2 linked regions of the Notamacropus eugenii genome follow. The protein of the gene in region 2 binds, or shares a complex with, the protein of the main gene of each other region. Links are inferred from orthologs where the notes say so. Each region holds a gene or a part of one and is shown on either strand. Other genes may lie near its edges.

Region 1 (7,930 bases), about 140 Mb from region 2:
CCTTCAGTGACAATACTATTATATAAATATTACTTTTCAGATTTTGTTCTTTCTCCTGCTTGTGATAAGGGTCTTTTTTTTTATTTATCAAGATCCCACTTCTTTAGCCCATTTAAAGTGTCTACACATGGCTATTTCTATCTCTTCTCTATAAGAAAGAGTTTAAACATCTAACTCCCCAGACATTTTGAAAGAACACAATAGTTTATATATCAGAATTTCATGTCTTAGGGATACCATAATATTATTATGAAAATGTCTTATAAAAGAATATCTGTGTGACATTGAAAAAATTGTTTTACTTCTTTCGGCAACAGTTTCCTTGCTTATGTAAGTCTGGGGGTTTTCACCCTGAATGTAGTCATAGAAGGCCTATACCAGGGATGGGGAATATACAGTCTCAAGGCCACATATGGCCTTCTAGGTTCTTGGTCCTAGGTTCTTCTAGGTCCTTTTGACTGAGTCCAAGTTTTATAGAACAGATCCTTTTATTAAGGAGATTTGTTCTGGGAAGTTTGGATTTTAGGTCTAGAGTATAAGTCAAGGCCTTAGACAACTAGAGGAAATGAATCAAAGAGATAAAGAAGGTTAAGATGATGAATTTGGAAGGAATAAAGTGTTTTGATCATTGAATGAAGATGATTGAAGCTACATGCATGCACAAACACAAACACACACATTCACTAAGTTGTCTTGTGACTGGCTGGAAGAATCAGACATATCTTTTAGCCCATTTGTGATATACATCAAGCAAGTTCAAATATAAGCTTTCTAGCAGTGAGTTGAGTGATGATTCAATTCAGTGAGTAAGAATTCCTTTGATGAAATTGCCCTGGGGTTTGGGGTGGTGAGGAAGGGTAGAGTTTTTCTTCATTCCTTTCTCCTTGAATAAATGATGACTTTGCGAAGTTCAAAAAGTTGAAAGATCTGGAATTCTCATCCAGATCAGTAGCAATGTCTCTTGATAAGTGGTGGCTAATGACTTTTAAAGCCTAGCAGAGAGCTATACCTAAGGGGTACTTCAAAGGACTTACAGTAACCAGAAGGTATTAATTTACTGTTTGGTTCTGTGTGCTTTCTAAGTTTGAGCCCAATCTCCCCAAAGGCCTTTTGTGAGAGCACCATGATACCCTCAAGCAAAGTACAGAACCAATTCTTCCCCCACAGCATACAGGAGGAATTTCCTTATAAATTGAATACTTTCCTTGTAAATTTCATCCTGCCTAAAGACTGCTAAAAACAGACTTTATCAGGAGTAGAAAATTTTTCTCCCTGAGACATTGCTATTTATATGACCTTGGCTATCTGGGGACTCAATATATGCCCCGCTCCAAGTATATCCCCAGCTTGGGGACTGTTTCTGTAACAAGTGTCTTTTTACATCTCCTTAGTAAATATCTTTTCTCAAAGCCAGTTACATCAATAGGGAGGGCCATCAGTGGGGAAACTTATTAGTGGGAATACAAGAAAACCAGATCTTCAGTGCTATCTCCAGAATTCTGCTCCCTCAGTAGGTATAGTAGCAGCCCTCTAGCAACCTGGCCCACCAATGTGAGTGTGATTTGAGGGAGTGGCTCTAGAGAGGATGCTACTTCTGTAAAATGGGGGAGGGAAGAAACTAGATGATTTCTTAGGTTTTTTCCAACACTAATCTAGTCAGTTGTGTTCAGAACTGATAGGACTTGAGACTTTCAGGGAATAATGAAGAGTGAAATAAATATAATCAAGGGAATGTTGGATACAGTAATAGCAATATTGTTTGAAGAATAATTGTGAACACCTAAGTTATTTTGAGTATTATAAATATTCAGATCAATTACAAAGCACCTATGAAGGAAGATGCTGTCCACCTCCAGAGAAAGAACTGATAAATAGAAATATGTAATACATATTTCATATACATATATGTGTATATATGTATGTATGTATATGTGTATATGTATGTATACATATATGTGTGTGTATATATATATATATAGAGAGAGAGAGAGAGAGAGAGAGTGTGTGTGTGTGTGTGTGTGTGTGTGTGTGTGTGTGTGTGTGTGTGTGTAATGGTGATGGCCTCTAGTGTGGGTGAGGAGGGATAAAGGGAGATAGTTTGGACCTTAAAATGTAACTAAAAAAAAATAAATTTAAAAACAAAGAACTGATAGTATTTGACTACTGATTAAATAATAGTAATGATTCACTTTATATAGCACCTTACAAGGCACTTTCTGCACAATAGCCCTGTGAGATAGGGAAAACATGAATTACCATTCTTATTTTACATATGGAAACATACTTCCTGTCATACATAGTAAGTGCTTAATAAATACTTATTAAGTAAGGCTCAGAGAAGTTAAGAAGCTGTCTGGAAGCCAAGTATTCCACTATACTACATTGCCTGAGGGGGAAAAAAGAATTTAAAAATTATAATAAGGTCTCCAGCATAGCAGCCGGTGTGAATGGTGGTGCCATTGACAGAAATTACAAAGTTAGATGAAGAAATAGGTTTGGGGGGAAAAGGAAAGAGAATTAGTCTTAGAAGTTGAAGAATTTACTTCCAGTCCTGACTTGATTCATTTCTACTTCTATGACCTTGGACAATACACCTAATCACTAGGGACTTCAATTTTCTCATCTGCAAAATGAAGGTCTGGGCTTAGGTGATTTCTATTGATCCTTCTACCTTTAAACCTTGTGACTCAGATAGTTGGTAAATCTTACCATTTAAATAGGTGTCTTCATGTGGAGATGACCAGTAGGCACTTGAAATAAAGATCAAGAAGAGATCAGGGATAGAAATAAAGATTTGAGAGTCATCTGCATCCTGACAATAGCTGAAGTTATGAGAATGAATGAGATTATTAGGGGGATAGTGCAAAGAGAAGACAAAAACCAAGGGTAAAAACACTAACCTTAAACAGCTGGGAAGAGTTCCAGATGCTGAATGGGTCGTTAGAAAGGTCAGAAGGGAACAAACTGAGACTGGTGTCTCTGAAGCCAAGTGAACAAAGACTATCCACCAGAAAGAAATAGTCAAAAGTGTCCGATGCTATAGACAAGTCAATGAGGATGATGACATTTATTTTAAAGCCATTGTTTGGGAAGCATTATGAGGTCACTGACAGTCTTTGAGTAAGCAATAAAGACGTGGGCGATGAGCCAGATTCCAAGTGTCTGGTGAAGGAAAAGAGAAATGCATGTATAGCCAACTTTTTAAAGAACTTTGTCAGTGAAATGGAAGTAGGATCATAGAAAGTTGGCTAAAGGGAAATAAAGGAAAGAATGTGTATGAATGTGTGTAGCACAGGTTTAGATTTAATTCCTGCTCCTACAGTCAGCTTGGGTCCACAGAGTATAACTGCTACATTAGCTATGATCACCTTTCATGGTACAAAAGGTGGCCCTAAGGAGTTTAGGGTAGTTTTCTAAAATTATTGCTCGTAAACTCCTCCTGGTGTGCTCCTCCCCCTCCCATAATCATCATCAATTGAAATCAATTAGTCAGCCAGATTTAATTAGGTTTTAGAAAGAGATATTTATGGTCATTGGCATTCAAGAGTGCCATTGACCCCTTTTATTAATTATCTGCTGGCATGATTAATAAAATGATTAATTGCCCAGAAATTATATCTTCCCCAATGGGGAAGGGCACAGCCCACTACTGAGCAGACCTGAGACTGAAAACCTTCTCATGTCTCTCCAGAATCTGCCTCAAGTCTCAACTGGGAGACCTAAAGGCAGAGGGATATTGGAGAGAATTGACAGACAAAGTGAAGCTAGACATTGTGATCAAGGACTGGTTTGCCACCAGAAATGACTATGGTCACACCTACCATATCTGTAACTTATTGTGAGAGGTCTTGTCTGAGTTTAAGCCAGCCCCTGTGTACATTGACCAATGGAGTGGTGCTGAAAGGAAAGGGTCTCCTACACATTCTGCAATTGCCCCTCTTCAAGAGTCCATTACATCTACTTCCAGTACGGAAGCAAATATACTCAGTTCTGGGCTCGATAATATGGCCTGAGTGTCACCAGCAGTAGCATCACCATTGGCCCTGAAGTCATTAGGAAACCCATTCCTGCAGAAAAGGAGAATCTCTTCAGGAGATAGCCTAAGACCCTTCCAACAAAAACCGAGGACATAGAGAATGATGAAGCAAATTGTGGTACATGAATAGAATAAAACATTATTGTGTCATGGGTCGGGATGAATATGAAGAATTCAGAGACTTATATGAACTGATTCAGAGTGACACTGAAGAGCCATGTGACCCACGGAGAGGTACTTAACCTCTGACTGTGAATAGGGGTATAGTTCATGATCAAACAAGAGATAAGATCATGGGAGGTAAAATGGATAACTTGTATTACAGTAAGTTTAAAAGAGTTTGTACAAACAAAACTAACACAGCCAAAATAAGAAAAGCAGAAAACTGGAAGGGGAATTTTGCACCAAGTTTTTGGGGTTTTTTGATAAAGGTCTCATTTCTGAAAAATATAAGAAACTGAACCAAATCTATAAAAACAGGAACCATAGACCTTGGGCAAGTCACTTAACGCCAATTACCTCACCTCTCCTTTCCAAAAAGAAAAAAAAATAAGAACCATTCCCAAACTGATAAATGTACAAAGGATATGAGCAGGCAGTTTTCAAAAGAAGAAATCAGCACTCTCAATAGTCATTTGAAAAATGCTCTACATAATTAATATAGAATTGCAAATTAAAACAACTCTGAAGTACCCTTTTATACCTATCAAATTGGCCAAAATGACCAAAAATAAAAATGATAAATGTTGGAGGGGATGTAGAAAAAATAGGTACACTAATTCATTGTTGGTGGAGCTATGAATCAGCCCAACCATTCTGGAGAGCAATTTGGAACTATGACCGTAGGGCTATAAAATTGTGCATACCCTTTAACCCAATACCACTACTAGGTCTATATCCCAAAGAGATCAAAGAAAAAGGAAAAAGACCCATGTATGCAAAAATACTTATAGCAACTCTTTTGTAGTGGCAAAAATGCCCATCAACTGAGGAATGGCTGAACAAGTTAGTGTAAAAGAAAGTGATAGAATGCTTTTGTGCTGTAAGAAATGATGGAGATGGTTTCAGAAAAATCTGAGAAGACATATGAAATCATGAGAAGAGAACCACGAAAATATCATACACAATACTAGCAAGATTGCAATGAAAATCAACTGTGAAAGAATTAGCAACTGATCAATACAATCATCCATGACAATTTCAAAGGATTCATGATGAAAAATGCTATCCACCTCCACGAAGAGAACTGATGGGCTCTCAGTGCTGATTGGAGAATTTTTTTCTCTTTATTTTTCTTGCTTCCTGCCCACCCATCCATCTTCCATAACATGGCAAATGTGGAAACATATTTTGCATTACTTACTGTATATAATAAATATTATATTTCTTGCCTTCTCAATGGGTAGAGAAGAGAGTAGAGGGAGAAAGAGAATTTGAAACTCAAAAATTATTTTTAAACAGAAATTATGTTAGAATTTAAATGTTAAATTTAATTTTTAAAAGAGTTATAAAAAGAATTTTTTTTCAAAACAGAAAGAAGAAAGGTTGGGGAAGACTACCATCCTTTGCAAAAGATCACAGATATGGAACTCTGAAACACTGGGAACAGCTTTGAGAGTTAGGAGGAACTGAAGAGAAAAGCCTGGGTCCCAGTTTAATAATTGGTTATTAATATGATAGTATAATAATAATTTTTCTCAACTGGGATACAATAAGGTATGCCTGGAGATAGAACAAAGGAGTAAACAGAAGGGGATAGTGTAGGATTGAGTTGGTTCACCAATACATGGAGATAGGGATGGGAAGATAAGCATAGCCAGTGCAGGAATGATGTCCTGGGGAAAAAAACACTGAAGAGATTGAGGGAACAGAGATCACTATGAAGATGAAGAACAGTGCTAGAGAGAGTACTTCCCGAGAGAGGAAGCCCCTGTTGCTAGAACCAGAAGAAGCAAAAGCCTAACCCCAGGCTGGAGACATTTTTATCTCTCAACTTCTCAACCTTGGTTTTCAATAATCACTTTTTATAAAGCCAACCTAGAGTGGGTTTGAGGGAGGAGAGAGTGAGGTCAGCACATGGACGGTTCCTAGCTTTCCAGCCACATCTGTGTCTCCAGCTTCCTTACTCCAAACTATAGATGAGTTTCCTTCCTTGGTCATTGATGTATAGAACACAAACATTTTATTGAAGTAAAAACAACAACCCCATTTGTCTGTAAAGCCACTCTTGCCCCAAAGAACTCAAGGGCACCAAAGAAAATGGGGTCCCAGGGTCCTCCAATTATGTCTCACCTCAAGATTACTTCCTGGAGGCCAAATTCCAACTGCCAGGCCAAGGAATGGGTAGATGTGAGCCTGCCAGGTTGCTACAAGTTATAGGACCCAGGGTCTCACTCATTTTTAAAATATCTAAGGCCATGACTCTTTCAGGACTACCACCACCACTCAGCAATATCTCCTCTTTTTAGTTCATAAGGTCCAACTTTATCACCCAATCCAGATCCTAATCGTGATTATCTACCAATCCCCGAGACATTCCCTGTCCTTCCTCAATAAGTCTGGTGCCTGGCTCATGGTCTTTCTCTTCCCCAACTCCTGCCTAGATACTAGGGGATTTCAACGTATATATGGATGATTCCTCAGATCCACTTACTTCTCATTCTCTCTATATATTCTTTATACTCAACCTACTTCCTCCTCTGGTCCATGTCAGCTATACACCATGAGGGACATAGGTTTGAACTTGCCATCCCCCACAAGTGTTCAACTTCCATGTTCAAGAGCTCTGAAATTGCTTTGTCTGACCATGTAATTTTGTCATTTCATCTCTCCCTAGCATTATTCTCCATCTTCATAGTGATCTCTGTTTCCTTAATCTCTCCAGTTTTTTCCCAGGACATCATTCCTGCACTGGCTACACTCTTCTCCCATCTCTATCTCCATGTATTTGTGAACCAACTCAATCCTACACTATCCTCTTCTGTCAACTCTTTTGTTCTATCTCCAGTCATAACTTATTATATCCCAACTGAGAGAAATTATTATTATACTATTATATTAAAAAATCAGTTATTAAATTGGGACCCAGACTTCTCCCTTTAATTTCCTCATTCTTGTTAAAGTCAGTCACTGAAGGCCATGACTGATTGATGAGATTATTCCTAGTTCCCAAGAAACATGCTCTTCAGTGTTGGGCAGGGATCCCACCCAACTAGATCTTACTTCTGTTTAGAGTATAATAAGACTCCAGTCTATGTGTATCCTTACCCTGGAGAAAGAGAGCCCTGCCCTTGTATCTCTCCATTAGAGTTTAGTGTATCCCAGCTTATGAAGGGGAAAACCAACCAGAGTAGTCTGACTGGAGAGAGATTCACCTGTCCAGATTACTGGAGGAGACTGTTTTGCATGACTAAGCCATATGCTCAGCAGGAGGAGGTAGACTTCTAATTTACCTCCTCATTAACTGTCCACCAATCAGGGTTGATTTACACTCATCAAGGGAATTTCAGGGTCTTCATTAAACTTCTTTGGTTATTGAGAGAAACTACAGAACCTCCATTTATTATTAGCTAGTCTAATTAATAATCTGATTATTAATTACCAAGAAAAAAGAGGTGTTTATTAATGTAGTATGGCAAGAATTATTTAGCACTAAATGTCCACCCCTCCCCCCCCAAAAAACCTGTGACACTCTCCCTCCCATAAAAACAGAATCCAATGGAAAGTTGGCTTAAGAGTATGAAGTACACATGGCAGAATGGTAATTCAGAGCTCCTAGTTGCTAGAAATCTCTTTTTCCCTTTCTGGTTTACTCATGAATTTTCCACTAGACATGACTTTCTAGACTAAACTAGAGTTTCTGCTGGGCTTCTTATTGAATCTTGAAGTTTCCTC
Region 2 (8,063 bases):
GATAAAATTGCCATTTTTGTTATATTGGCCCTGCCTACCCATGAACAATTAATATTTCTCCAATTATTTAAAGCTGATTTTGTGTAGTTTTTTATAATTTTGTTTATGTAGTTCCTGGGTTTGTTTTGGCAGGTGTACTCCCCAGATATTTTGTACTGTCTAGAGTTATTTTGGGGTAAATGGGGTATGTATTACTATCTCTTCTTTCAGGGTTTTGTTTGTGATATATAAGAATGCTGATGATTTATGTGGATTTACTTTACTGAAAAGCTTTTGCATGAAAAAAATGAACGAGGGTAAGAAGGGAAGCTATTTATCAGGGGGAAAATCTTTGCATCAAATATCTATAATAAAGGCCTAATGAAAAGCAGCATATAATAAGCAAACAGAAATAGAAAGAAGAGTTGAGAATTGAAGACAAGAAGACTGGGATTCATATCTTGGCTCTGATATATCCTTGCTCTCTGACTCTAGACAAGTCACCCTACAGGAGCCCCCATGCAACTCTCTTGAGACTGTAAGTTACTGGCCTGGAAGAGCTTAGTAAATGCCTGCTAATTGATCTATTGATTGGTAGAAAAAACATCCTCTCTGGGAGTTAAACCAATGAAATTATAGTTCTACCTCACTTCCTCAAAGGGTCTGCTGTCCAAGGTATAATGGGAACTAATAAATAGCAAGGTCAAGTGTCATTTCTCTCTGAGTAATTTGGTCAAAGGACATGAATGGTTCTCAGAAGAACTGTAAATGAACAACTATGCGAAAAAAATTGCTGCAAAAATTGCTAATAAGAGAAATGCAAATCATTCTGAGTTTCACCTCACATCCCAACTTTCTAAACCCCAATATTGTCAAAATGATAAAAGACAGTAAGGTCAACATTGGAGGGGCTTACAGAAATGCAACCACACAAATACACTGCTGAGAAAGCTGTGAATTGGTCCAAATATTCTAGAAAGCAATTTGGAATTAAGAAGGAAACATAACTAAAGCTTTCATACCTTTTGACCTACAGATCTCACTGCTAGCCATATGCCACAAGGAGGTCAAAAATAGAAAGGTCCTATAAATACGAAAATAATTATAGGTGTGGTAACAAAGAGTTGAATGGCTTAACAAATGGTCAAACATTAACATAATGGAATATTACTGTTTCACAAAAAATAATGAATATGAAGAATTCAAAGACATGAAAATTTAAATGAACTGATGCAAAATGAAGTAAGCAGGACTGGAAAAAATACATCACTACAACACAAATGGGAAAAAAAAATGTTATGTAATTACAACCACCAAGTTGGTGCCCAAAGAAGAGATGAGAAAATGCACCTCCTTCCCTTTCTGTTTTTGTTTTTTTATTTTTATTTATTTTTAATTAATTTTATTTATTTTCAGTGTTTTACAATCACTACTATATAACTTGGATTATTATTTTTCCCTCCCTGAGATGGCATATAATTTTATATAGGTTCTACTCAAACATTCTTATTAAATACATTTTCACTATAGTCATGCTGTGTAGAAGAATTAAATTGAATGGGAGAAATCATATAACAAACCAAAATGTAATACATGCACAAAAAAGTGATCTGCTACATTTTGGATTGAATTCCAAAGTTCTTTCTCTGGGTATGGAGGGCACTTTGCCTTAGAAGACCATTGGGAATTTTTTTTAAGTCCTTGCATTGCAATGAAGTTCCAAGTCTACCAGAAAAAACTCTCGCACACGGTGGTTGTTGCTGTGCACAAAGGTCTCCTGGTTCAGCTCCTTTCACCTCTCTGAAGTCTTCCTGTTCATCATTCCTTATAGCACAATAGTATTCCATTACATTCATATACCACAATTTATTCAGCCATTCCCCAGTTGAGGGGCATCCCCTCGGTTTCCAGTTTTGGGCCACCACAAAGGGTACTGCTATAAATACTTTTGTACATGTGGGACCCTTTCCCATTTGTATGATCCCTTGGGGATACAGCTGTAGAAGTGGTATTGCTGGGCCTAAGGGTATGCCCGTTTTGTACCCTTTGGGCACAGTTCCAACCCGCTCTCCAGACTGGTTGGATCTTCTTCCCTTTCCTGTAAAAGCGAGGGACTAGGGGGCTTCCTCCACTGTCAGGCCCAGTCCATGTGTTGGTTAGTTTTGCTGAACTGCTTTTTTTCTTCTTTTAAAAATTCTTGTTGTAAGAGCTCGTCCCTGGGTATGGGGTGGGAAGGTTATATTTGGAAATGAAGGTAATACAAAAGATTTAAGATTCAAAAAGCTTCTCTTTTAAGAGAGAATGCTTATTCTTTTCCTTTTAAAAACACTTTCTAATGAGGCAATATAGTAGGGGAGGTTTGTTGTACGTAATTAGATCATGGAATATTTAGCTCTTTAGAAACTAAGGGATCCAGGATACCCAATTATATTCTATTTGATAAATAATCATTATCATCCAAGTCCTGCCATAAATGGGTAAATAAACTTTTTGGCAAATCAAAAAAAAAAAACCCAAACCCATTCACTAAATCCTACAAAAAGGATACTATTGGTTAACTTTTCATTAGTATGGAATGAAACAGCCATTCAGAAAGGCAATGAAATGAAGCCCTTTACCTGCACAATGGTGAACCCAGACTTGAGGATGATGCCCTCTATCTCCTCCTCTTTGTCCACAATGTCTGGCTTGATGATGGCCAGGGTCCTCTCTACGTAAATCTGGGGCGGGGGCATTAAGAGCTCCATCCTGGCGGTCGGGATACACTTCGCTTCCCCACGGCCACGAACTGCAAGGAGGCCAGGCCCACTTGCCCCGCGAGGCTCCTGACGATCGGGGGCAGCGCCCCTCCGGTCAGCCCGTCGGGGCGCTTCCCCACCCCCACCAGCACCGCGCCGCCAACCCCCCCGGGGGCTGGGCACGGCAGGATGCCCAGTTGTTGCAGAAGAGGCCCCAGAAGCCCAGACAGGGGGTGACGGTGACCGGCGTGGCCGCAGAGGGTTGGCAGGGCCTTCTCGGACCCTGCCGGTGTCTCGCCTCCGCCCGGCCGGCCCTCCGAGCCAGCAGCCCGCCCCTGCCCGGGCCCAGCGCGGCCCCTCCGGTTGCTAGGAGGCAGCAAGGACGCTCGGTGGCGGCCTCGCCCCTCCCCCTGACAAACAAGGCCTGGTTCGTGGGTAGAACCGTGCTCCGCCGGGCTCCCTCCCCCCTCGCCATTAAAAAGCCGTGCCAAGTTTGTTAAACAACGTTTATTCTAAGATGGGTCACACAAGAAGCTTGGTGGAAGTGGGCGGCCCCTGGGAGGAGGCACAAACCGCGGCCCCGCCCGCTCCTCCGGGGTCCCTGACTAGCAGCAGCCCGGGCTTCTTGGGTGACTTAAGGCCTCTCACTGTTACGAACAAAGGATAACTCATGAACTCGAACAATCTCTGAGATGCGATCCAGGCCAGGGCCGAGCGGGGAGCCCCTGACTCCGGAACGGCCTCGGCCCGCTCAGAGCCGAGGGCGGGGGGAAGGTCAGGCTGGCCGCCGGAGCCGCCCGGCTGGGGAGCCCAAGGGCTCTCGGTGGCCCCCTGGTTTATCAGTCCACATGACTCAAATCTCTTCTTCTGTCTAACCAAATACTTAGCACCTGTGCCAGGCAAGAGGAGAAAAAGCTGTAAATCTCAAAAAGCACCTGGATGTCTGCGCATCGTGAGAGCAGCTAGCTACATATCCTTTCCCCTTCTCCAGCTAACAACTTTATGACAACAACTCAGTGCAACTGTAAGGCATACAGTCTTCACATGCAGGCCTTTTTCTGACTGCCACACACCTTGGGAATGGGCAAAGATGGAATGATGTCAAATTTATACGAGCAAAAGCAGCTCAAGGGCTATAGCTTCTTGTTTACAAGTTTGGCTGCAGTTTCTCCTCTCAGTGGCTGTTGACTTGTGGCTTGGGAAACAGATCCAGGCAACCTGCAAGATCTCACCACAGAAATTCATCCTTTCACAGGATTCTTTTCCTCTTTCCCCAGCTCTTGTGAGAACCCATCTCTGCTGTTTTCCCCTGACTACTTGTGGCATAGTGAAAAGAGCCCTGAATTTGGAGTCAGAGAAACTGGGTTAAAATCCCAACTATGTTACCTTGGGCAAGTCACAACCTCCCTGGGCCTCAGTTTCCTCATCTGTAAAATGAGGGTGATGGATTAGATCAAGGGTTCTTAACCTGGCATCTGTAAATTTGTTTTATTATTTTGATAACTATTTCAATATCTCACTTCCTTTGTAATTCTATGTATTTTATGCATTAAAAAAAAAACATTCTGAGAAGGGGTTCATAGGCTTCCCCAAACTGCCAAAGGGGTCCAGGACACAAAAAAATGTTAAGAACCCCTGGAGATGATCTCCAAGGTAACTTCCCAACCCTAAATATAAGATCCTTGGGCATTCTACTTCTCCATGTAGAGCTGCAACGTACTGTACCCCATAGCTTGCCTTCTGACACAGGTTTCAAAAAATGGTGAATGTGGTAAAGGACAAACCCAGGAAGGATAAGGGGAGCCCCAGAAAGTCACTTTGAATCAAAACAGGAAGATGGAACAACTACAAAGTCCCATGCTCATCTATACCAGCCTCCTCCAAAGAAACACTAACTGGGGCTTAGGATTTGCTGGGCTATATAAACTTCATTGTGAACTTCTGAGGGGCTCAGGACCACACTTTGTCAAGACCCCTAATCTCTAAGGGAAAGAGCACTACTCTTAGACCACCACTTATGTGAATGCTCTGAAAAGTGGCCTCCTTTTCCTATAAGTCCCTAAGATATAATACCTGGATCTGCTCTAGGACCTCTTTTTGCATCTCTATAGCCATGTGGTAAACATGGTGATCAGAGTCATTGTACATTACAGCATTCTGGAACATCAACATCAAATCACGCTGGAATTGTGCCATGCTGCGAATATGTCCCTTAGAGAGGTTCCTCTTCAGAGTCGTTAAGTCCATGGGTCTGCAAGTGGCCAAGAAAGACCAGGAGGAATTACATAGTCATATGGAATATAAACTGCTCAAATGAATTCTTCTAGATAACTGACCTCCCCCTTCAGTAGGAGCTACTGCTCCTGATATCACAATGTGAAATTCAAATGGTTAGTAAAAAAGCATTTGAGTGCTCAGCGTGCAGAGCACTGTAAATATCTTTGATTTATTTACTCCCACTTTCCTTAGAGAATTCATATGCTATGAAGAATGATTTTTTTTTCCCTCAGGTGAAGAAAACCAGAGAAGAAAGGACTCATGTAGGAAAGATAACCCAAATGGGTATTTCTTACATAGAAAATATTTTTTTATGAAAACTGCTACATTAGTATAAAATTCTGCTTTCATTTATATGTGGCATCCAATTGCGTTTTCTTGCCCTAATACACCCATATTAACTCCCTAAGTTTCTCTTGGGCTTAACAGACAACAGTGACTATACCTGGTGAGCTTGAAAAACATAAGTGAGAAATGACCAACACTGACTGTTCTCACAATGACCATGCAGATTCTCCTTTTGAAAGTTTTAGTTCAAAAGGGAATGTTCAGAAATTACAAAGTACTAACCAAAGTCTTTTAGACTCAAGAGTATACACTGCTACAAATGATATATTTGTCTTTTCTCACCCTCCTTTTCCTCCCAAAAGAAAGATGTTGACTTCTTCATAGCTTTATTAGCATCTTCTGCTCACAAACATTATTTTCCTTATATCTAAGTGCAGCAAATAAGGCACAAGATCATTTAAAATACAGGGAAACAGAATGAAAAGAGAACAGGCACAAGGATATGAAGCAACCAACCTTTCCTTCCCCCTTTCTTCACTGACCTTTTCACCACATCCTTGTACCCCGGAGCTTGCCTATCTGACACAGGTTTCAGAAATGGACTGCTGAACCTGGTAAGGGACAAACCCAGAAAGGATAAGGGGAGCCCCAGCAGGTCACTTTGAATCAAAACAGGAAGAAGATGGAACAGGTTAACTACAGAGTCCTGTGCTGTTCTATGCCAGCCTTCTTCAAGGAAACATCATCTGGCAGTGGAAAAATCTGTAAATTCCCTCTTGATGTATAAACATATAGAAACACTTTATGCTAATGCCACATATCATGGCACTTGAGAGCTCAGACACTTGTTTGAGACCCTGTCTGATAGGGTCCTACTAGAAAGAAGCATTTATTTCAAATATAAATTTGATCTCAGAGATAGCATAGTGTAGTGAATAGAAAGCCAACCATGGAGTTGGAAGATCTGGGCTCAAGACCTACTTCTGACATACAGTGGCTATATGATCATGCATAAAAGGAACCTCTTAGTTTCCTAGGCACTGTTCTGCATTGATAGAGGGAGTTTCTTTCCAGAAATTCCTCATTCCAATGAAATAATAGGTTCAGAAAACAAAAATTATAATTTTATCTCTTAAAGTTCCACTTCTGAAGAAAAACTAGAAATTAAAACTCAAATGACAGCAACTTTTTCTTCCAGAGACCTACAAAAGCAGGGTTTTTTTTAAAGGTAGTTGCTGGTGCTGATGGATGGAAAGGACTGTCTTATGTGGTCCACTTCCAAGATATATATTCATATCTTCTACTATGCCTGACCTATCTTCTGACATGGGTAATATGCTTCAGTGGTGAACAGCCATTCTACCAGTTTCCTGTCCAATTTGAGACACTTACCTGTGACTGGCAATCATTTTCCAGACTGGAAGAAGGGTTTTCTTGAATAGCAGCTGTTCCTTGACAGGATCACCCTGGTTTGGATCAGTCCTACGAGAAGGGACATGGTCATTTCCCAAACGTTGTTCTAATTCTTTTAGGCAGACAATCAAGGTACTGCCTATGTTTAGGCCTTAACTTTTAATCAGGTCTCACCAAAGGAAGGAACTTTACTCTTTATGTCTATTCTACATTAAAAAACTGAAACACTACAGGATGAGAAATACTGTGTTTCCAAAGTTTTCATAAAGGAGACTCAAAACTATGAACAAGCTCAGTCTTCACAGTAACTCAAAGATGGGTCTGCTTCTTTTGAAGGCTTTTCTGTGATTCTGACAGCACATCTACGCTGGTCTTTACTTTTTTTCACCCCTGCTAATCTGTTCTTCTGCAATTCTGACATAACATAGTTTGCCTATAAAGTACATCCCTGACCTCAGCCAGAATGGCACTCAAATGTTGAGACTCTTCTGTAACTTCAGGAGAGAGGATATTTAGTCAATAATCCAACTGTCTAAGAATTTTTCACCTTCAGGAAATTTCCCTTCATGCCAAAACAGCTTAATTGTATGTACTTCTGCCCCCACATGCATTTAGAAATTATTTTTGTTTTTGTATTTAAACCCACGCAAATGAGATCTTATAAATTTAACAGACTATATTAATTCTATGGAAATGAGGAAAACTGATTTTAATATTCCTAGATTAATATGGCTGTGAATTTCTGCTTAAAATTAATGTCTCACATAGGACCAGTGGAATACATTTCTTCTAATGTTGGCATTGTAGGTAGTTTCCAAAATTTCAAAATATATACACAATTACAATTTCCTAGATATCATCAATATAAACAGAAAAAATCTTTTACAGGTTTTGAAATCATCTGAACAAAATTAAACACTTTCATTTCATTTTGCTTCCAAAAGAAATAAAATCCACAAAGAAGCTTCGCAAAAATCTAAAAACAAAATTAAAAAAACCTAAAAACTGAAACAAACAACCAAAAAAAAAAAACGCCCAACAATCCAGCATTCTGTTAGTGGTGCATTTTTTCCATATTAAAAAAAACAGAATTCTATCTAAAACAAGGTCATTAAAAATAACTATGCTATACCACAGCCACTATCACATCTCATAAACAGGTACAGGATATATTAGAGGCATTAAGAGTGTGAACTTAGGCTCAGGCAGATTCCAAAGTTTTATATCCTGCCTCAGACAGTTCCTAGCCATGTAAACCTGGACAAGTTACAACTTCTCTAAGAATTCTTTATCTCATCTGTTAATAGGGATAATAACAGTATACACCTTACAGGGTTATTGTGAAAATTAAAGGAAATCATATATATA

The links. The genes of interacting proteins can lie anywhere in the genome.
Region 1: NME5 (region 2) and DYDC1 share a complex: the UniProt entries of both Homo sapiens proteins name them as parts of the axonemal radial spoke complex. The link is inferred for Notamacropus eugenii from reciprocal best matches to the Homo sapiens genes NME5 and DYDC1.

The regions. Positions count from the first base shown.
Region 1 is NC_092872.1:227,290,553-227,298,482, reverse strand, and holds the start of DYDC1 (DPY30 domain-containing protein 1), read right to left. Parts: upstream 3,028-7,930; 5' UTR 2,901-3,027; intron 1-2,900. UniProt on the Homo sapiens protein: Functions as part of axonemal radial spoke complexes that play an important part in the motility of sperm and cilia. Plays a crucial role during acrosome biogenesis.
Region 2 is NC_092872.1:365,279,030-365,287,092, forward strand, and holds the start of NME5 (nucleoside diphosphate kinase homolog 5), read right to left. Parts: upstream 3,102-8,063; 5' UTR 2,727-3,101; coding exon 2,598-2,726; intron 1-2,597. Other genes in the region: BRD8 (bromodomain-containing protein 8), read right to left, coding at 3,557-3,607, 4,791-4,968, 5,825-5,893, 6,675-6,764. UniProt on the Homo sapiens protein: Functions as part of axonemal radial spoke complexes that play an important part in the motility of sperm and cilia. Does not seem to have nucleoside diphosphate kinase (NDPK) activity.